Caenorhabditis elegans: one gene and its partner. The protein of the gene in region 1 purifies or fractionates together with the protein of each later gene. This does not show direct contact. Each region holds a gene or a part of one and is shown on either strand. Other genes may lie near its edges.

What was found. Proteins that work in one complex are often made in the same cells at the same time.
Region 2: the proteins of rpl-31 (region 1) and rnh-2 fractionate together in Caenorhabditis elegans (co-fractionation; one large-scale study listed by BioGRID). This does not show direct contact.

Annotation. Positions count from the first base shown.
Region 1 is NC_003279.8:13,652,316-13,655,394, reverse strand, and holds rpl-31 (Large ribosomal subunit protein eL31), read left to right. Parts: upstream 1-1,690; 5' UTR 1,691-1,709; coding exon 1,710-1,804; intron 1,805-2,129; coding exon 2,130-2,403; 3' UTR 2,404-2,446; downstream 2,447-3,079. Other genes in the region: sac-2 (SAC domain-containing protein), read right to left, coding at 1-441, 498-1,160.
Region 2 is NC_003280.10:8,515,003-8,518,977, reverse strand, and holds rnh-2 (Ribonuclease H2 subunit A), read right to left. Parts: upstream 1,829-3,975; 5' UTR 1,826-1,828; coding exon 1,732-1,825; intron 1,671-1,731; coding exon 1,363-1,670; intron 1,314-1,362; coding exon 1,085-1,313; intron 1,040-1,084; coding exon 777-1,039; 3' UTR 571-776; downstream 1-570. Other genes in the region: T13H5.8 (Lipid scramblase CLPTM1L), read right to left, coding at 1-107, 156-293, 337-468; ctg-2 (CRAL-TRIO domain-containing protein), read right to left, coding at 2,267-2,636, 2,685-2,941, 2,991-3,117, 3,343-3,628, 3,738-3,924. UniProt on the Caenorhabditis elegans protein: Catalytic subunit of RNase HII, an endonuclease that specifically degrades the RNA of RNA:DNA hybrids. Participates in DNA replication, possibly by mediating the removal of lagging-strand Okazaki fragment RNA primers during DNA replication.

The DNA.
Region 1 (3,079 bases):
AAGCCCTCTACAATGCTGATGCAAATCAAACGAGAAAAACGTGACGTCATTATCATCGGCCTTCACACAATGCTCCAGAAACCTCTGAGCCAGCGGAAGCTCTCTGCCACGTTGATCCACGAGGCTTACCGCCACAAGAGGAGTGTCGTAGTGGGCTTTAAGCCGTTTAAAATGCTCCGTGAACACGCCATGCGTCTCCTCCACAGATCTATTGATAATTAGCGGTGGGCGATACTTGAAGCCACGCTGAGACCAGAATACGGGAATCGAGCCGCGGCACTGCACAAAACTGAGCTCATGCTCGAAAATGTTCAAAATGAGCTCAGTTTCCACGAAGTTTGCCACGTTGGAAGCCTCGTCGATGCCACGTCGTAGGTAGCGGGCTCCCGCGCGGCGGGTAGATCGTCGGGAAATTATTGTGATTGTCAGATAGGCGTTTATCTGGAAATTTATTCAATAATCTAATTATTTAATTAATTTGTGGGATTTTTTAATACCTGATCCGTAATTTCCAGCTGACTTGTGGCCACATATCCTTGCATAATTGGGCATGTGAATTTATCGGAAATTTTGGCTTCTCCCAGGTTTCCCACCATCCTCTTATTCCAAAAAAACGAATCCTCCGACGTATGAGCCTCACGCTTCTCGAAATACTTTTGTGAGGATATTGTGACGTCACGGCTTCGACAAAAGTAGAAATCCTTCGAATCATTGAACAGCTTGAGCACATCATCCAGTAAAGCCGGACGGGGCTCGGCTTTTGTCACTTTTTCCGCGAAAAACTTCATTATTTTCTCGGTTCCTTGCTTTAATTTAGTGCCGGAGCCCGGGGTGATTTGAGATTTTATCACGGAGCCATCGGATTTCACATTTATCGCGATAACCCGCTCGATTCTCCGGATTGAATGGGAGCTCTCGGCTGACGTTCCTCTATAACACGCTACCACCGAACTATCGACGACGAAAAACAGAAAATGCTGCTCGTCAAACGATATTTTTCCGATCAAAAACTCGACGTTTCCGCACAAAACCACATCTTGATCGAGGATTTCCAGCGATTCTTCCGGTTTTTCCAGTACTTTCCCATTTCTGCGATCAAATTCCACACGTTCTCCTTGTTCTTCGAGTATTAAAGCTGTTGGTGTTGTGTAAATTATCATCTGAAAACAAAGCGATTTTTTTTTGAAGTCAAGAAGAAGTTGTAACTCACTTTTCCAGTAGTTTTCCGGCAATTTTCCACTATTTACTTTGTAATTCTAACACGCCGATTTCGGAAATCAGCAATTTAGCATTTGGAAATAAAAAATTTGGTCTTTGTTTGTACAAATCGTCCCGTTTTGTGAGTCATCTCGGCGAAAATAAACACAAAAGAAAAATAATGCAAGTATGCTCCGTTGAACTTTCTTAAAGGCGCATGGATTTATCTCGATGGGTCTCGCCACGATTAGGGAATTGCAATGGAGTTTTCCATTTTTATCCTAAAAATTTTTACGCTTTTCCAATGGAAATTTGTGATTTTTTCGTAAATTTTTATTTTTTTTCATTTAAAAAATATTTTTTCAATGTGTAAATCGTATAATTATCATGTTTTCTCTCTGAAATAAAGCTCCTACTATGATTTTTATGCATTTTTCCTTATAATTCTTGTGTTCTCAGTTTCTAGTTTAATTTTAAAATTAAGATTTTTCAGGTAATCCAGTCAAGTCGCGATGGCTCCAAAGAACGAGAAGAAGTCCCGCAGCACCATCAACGAGGTCGTCACCCGTGAATACACCATTCACATCCACGCCCGCATCAGAGGAATGTAAGTTTACACTATTTTCCATCTTTCGCTCAAATTTCCTGCTCACATGCTAACACGTGCTCCACCTGGAAGCGGTGTGTTGGCCCACGCCTGTCATCGCAGCTCTTTAATGAGCAGGTTCTAGCCCGAACCGCGGTGGCCGGACTAACGGAGCTTACCCGCCTCGTTTTCTGGTGAGTGGCTCTCTCCAGAAACGCCGTTCGTTTCTCATTCGAGAATCGGACGGAGATCTCAGGGGCATCCTCAAATTCGGTTGAAATATAGCGGGAAATCAGAGGTAAAAATGATGATTTTGCGAAGTTCTTATCCAATAATGCGTTTTCAGCGGATCCAAGAAGCGTGCTCCACGTGCCATCGACGAGATCAAGAAGTTCGCCAAGATCCAGATGAAGACCAACGATGTGCGTGTCGACACCAAGCTCAACAAGTTCATCTGGTCCAAGGGAATCAAGAACGTTCCATACAGAGTTCGTGTCCGTCTCTCCCGCCGCCGTAACGAGGATGAGGACTCCGCTCAAAAGCTCTACACCCTCTGCACCTACGTTCCATGCACCAACTTCCACGGACTCACCAACGTCAACGTTGACAGCGAGGAATAAGTATTGTTGATTCAATAAAATTGTTGTTACCTTTAATAAAAAAGGTTTTGATTTTCGAGGTTGGGGGAGAACAGAAGCTGTTTCAGAGGTTGCTTTCACTCGAATTTTCTGTCGTTTTTCCCTTGAAAACAGTATTTCTCCTTCGAAAAGGCTCTAGTACGGATTCCTAGTAGTGGGATTTTCAATCGATTCTCGAATATTTGCAGCCACGTGGTCAGATTTGTCTGCTTTAGAGTCCTCATTCAGATTTTTTAAAAAAGTTTCGAATGCTCTCATTTATTCAAACAAAGAATAATCAGTCCTTATCAACCTTGCACGTGGCAACTGGAGCCTTGATGGTAACGTGATCGGCAGAGGCGATGAAGATTTGGAGAAGGATCTGGAATGTTCTAGGTTTACACAAATCCTGAAGAAATTGAAACTTACAGCGATGAGGACGAAGACACGACGGAACATGTTGAGGAAGTGGTGGATGATGGATTTTCGGACAAAAACTGGGAATCTTTTATACTGGAACGTTTATTGCACCCGCGGGGTGCTAAACCATTCGTTTTTTGCATACTTTTTTAGGGGGTTTTTGCAATTTCTAGCGTTTGCAGTTCAGGTCGAAGATCGGAAGTTCAGTTGGAAAAGCTGGAAATTTCATGGTTTTTGAAAGAAATAAAAGCAAAAAAAA
Region 2 (3,975 bases), on another chromosome or scaffold:
CATGAAGCTTGCATCGGATTACGACCATCAAATTTATGTGGAAGTAAAATTGTATGTGCATATAGGTAGCCATCTTTAGCAACCGAAGACGGAATCTTCACTTGAAGCTGAAAATAAAATATAAAATGAGGTTATTCTATATTTTAGAAAATTACATCTTTCTGGAAGGCATCGGCAACTTGCAAGTTTTCAACAGTCGTGATAAGTGTCTCCAATGCATCTCTTTTCGTTGAAAAATAGACTCGAAGCTGTAGTAAATCGTACAATCCTTCGTGGTTGGGTTGAACAATTGGCTATAAAATGTTATTATAGTTTTGCCTCAATCGAAAAATTTACCGAATAGCACAATTCGTCAGAATCCTGATCTGTACATAACTCCGGAGTGAAAAGCTTATAAAGTTGAAAAAAGTTGTAGAACATGAAACTGAGGAACAGTGTGCTCACAATTTTTGTCAGGTTTATCTCCATCTGGAAAAATCACTTTTTGAAAGAATTTTTGAGAGATTCATCCAAATATTAATATCCGGTGAAAACGGAATTTCATGATACTTTCATTAAATACAAATCGGAGAATTTCAAAATTTATTCAATGAGTATCTAAGAAAAGTTCACCAGAAAAAGTAAGAGAAAATGAATATACTACAAGTAAATTGAGGTATACAACCAAAGTGATGAAATATTTAGAGGGAGATATGAGGAGATCAGAAACGCGTTAAAGAAAATGGTAAAATAAAAATGAATGGTGATATTGAAAAATGTAAGTATTTCGTTATAATTCAAAAAGTTAGAATATTGCTCATATGTCTTTCCTTGAAGTACACATTTCTTTTTGGTACAACTTCTGTTTCATTTTTCGGAACCATCCATGAAGTCATTCTTTTGCTTTGTGATTTCCCTTCTTCCTCGTCATCTTCCCAACTGCCTGGAACACATCTCTTCTCAACGATAGTACTGGCTGTTTTCCAGGATGATCGAACGAGTGAGCAGAAGCCGAAAACTGGTTCCACACTTAATTGAAGGAACTTCTTTGTGTTTGGATCTGAAAGAAAAATAATAAAATATACTATTCATAAAATAAAAAGACCTCCAGGATATCCACTTCCATATCCAGCATCTGGAACTTTAATATTTTTCTCTCTAAATTGCCAATTTCTCAAACGCGAGTCTCTCGTGACTTTGGCGGCAATGGAAGCTGCACTGACGATAGGAAAAAGTGAATCAGCTTTTTCAGTCACGCAAATTGAAATTCCGGGAAATAATTTCTCGAGTTTGGCTTGATAAGTTGCTTTCGGGCCAACTGTGTCCACTTTGATCTGAAAAATAGTATACCTTATATTTAGCTTGTATATATTTTCAGGAAACCTCCACTACATTCACATTGCAAGCTAGCGCATCTCGAATCAAAGTGATCGCAGCTTCATGGGATACTTCATTCAACGAATACTTTTGTCTTTTGAGCATTGAGCAACTGATCAATTCAGGGGAAAGACATCTGAGAGCATATGCTATGATCTGTTGGATGTCTTCGTCTTCATTCATCTTGTTGAAGATTTCTTCACGTTTCGCCTCGTTCAACGCTTTTGAATCGTCGACACCAAGATTTTTCAACTCTACATTTTGATCAAGTGGGGAAATCGCTGCTGCGTAGACCATAGGACCGAGCACTGGACCTAAAATTTGGATATATTAGATTACTGAATTATCAATTATTGACTATTATTTTCCACAAACCTCTTCCAGCTTCATCAATGCCCAAAACGCACGGAATACCATTCCCGAAATTGTTCCACGTTTTGCTTCGTTCAGTTTCACACTTCAGTGACATTCTCTGAGAGAACAAATATTGTAAAAAAAATAAATATCTATTCATATAATACATTTTGAAGGTTAATTCAAGAAAAAAAGACATTGAAGTGAATAATGACATAAAATAAATAAAAATCGTGGAAATAAAATTCAAATTGTGATGCGGCCGAGCTTTTTCTTTATGGTATGCAGATACGCTCTATTGACAATAACTAGGAAAATTCGGTCGCGAACAACACTTGGACAATATTACTGTACCCCACATATTTATATGCACAGAAAAACTTTCAAACGTATAATTAGCTATCACTAGCACTTTATGACGTCGTTCGAATGATTTTGAAAAATCAGAAATTAAAAAGCAAATACAACAAATAAGCTGATGGATAAAATAAACGTTTTAATAGGTTATGAAAGTATACATTACAATAAATACGATTTTCTAGTGTGTACCGGTTCCTCAAGGATTCCGCACCTCAATAAAATATTTGACAGTTTTAGATCTTAATTTGCTATGAGTATTATCAAATACGAATTTATATACTCCAGGCTCCGCAGCACACACTTCTCCATCTTCCGGAACGAAGTCTGTTTGAAGTTTGAATTTTGGATGCACCATGTAGTCATCGTCATGCTCTGCAACTTTCTCTTCACCTTCTGCTGCTCGAAGAATCGAGAAATTGATATCGTTATTCTCCAGCCTCCACCACCAATAAAGTTTTCTTCCTGGTACATTTCCTTCGAGAGTAATGGGAACAAATGTTGTCGAACGAGCAGAAACGTTGAGTTTGGTAAGCTTCTCAGCTGGAAGATCGTTGGCCGGGTCATACCTAAAAAACAGGATTATTTTTCAAATAAATTTTCCTCTGCAAAATTACTTCAATTCAGCAGGAATCTTGCCACCCATTCGAACATTTCCATATTCAGTTTCAGCCTTTCTAGTTCCACCCCATCTTTCAAATAGCACTTCTTCTCCAATATTCTCCTTCAAATGTTGTTTCCAATCGTTTCCCAAAATCTTGACTTTCTGTTGAGTTTGCTTGGCAAGACATGGCGAGATCATACTCCAGAGTACTTGAATAAATGTTGGTGTATTAACAATAAATATCTTACGAATTACATCAGGAAACATCTCCTGAAATTAAACAATTCAATTTTTAATACGACTAATCTGGAAAATGTACCTGAAGCTGCGAGAGCATGGTAGTCACAACCTTCAAAGCAGCCAAATCAATTTGAACCATTGAAAGTCCGTCAAGATCGAAAATGACAGATGTTCCCAATGGTTTTCCTTGCTCTTTTTCCATTTTTCTGAAAGTATAAGTTCTAATTTTTCATTATTATTACAGTAGTCTACATCTTATTTCGCAACTAATGTTTCTTAATCTCTGGACAAAATATAATTTTCGGGTATTCGATATCAGTGTTCTATTTTTCAATTTTTCTCTTCCGCTATCATATAAGTCACAGAGTAAACAGTATTCCAATCACTTTTGCCACACAGACTAGAGTGACGTTATCTTGAACTACGCATACCTGATAATTTGCATGACTCCTTCACTTTCAGCAATTCTCATTCTGTATAAATCCGAATTTCTTGTGGCTGGCATGAGACCGGCTGCGTCAAGATGTCCAATCATTTGAAGAGAGACCACATTATTCTCATGATCCAATCCGATTAAAGATCCAGGAAGGTATCGAAGTGGAACACTACAATCATCACATTTTTGTGCCACTTTTTCCAGTGTTGAGAGATCTTCTTGGTCAAGTCCAAGTGCATGAATGGCACGAAGTGAGAACTTGATTTTTGGAACCACAACATCTGAAAATATATCTATTTCATTTTACAATTTTTTCGAAATATTTCAAAACCATCATAAAATTCATAAAAAAAACATTTACAGTTTAAACAATATTCCAAAAAGTCTTACCAATTTTTCGATCCCATCCGATTAACCATCTCATAAGTGAAAAATCATCATCATATTCTTTCACTAATTCTAATTCTTTATGAATCCTTTTTCTGAGTTCATCGAGAAGCTTACGATCACTTTCAGTAATTTCTCCAGTACTTGTAGACATCCTTTCACCTGACAATCGTTTTTTGGTCAATTTCATTTTTTTTGCTAGAAGCTGGTGTGAGAGAATAATAAAAAGTTAGAAATATAT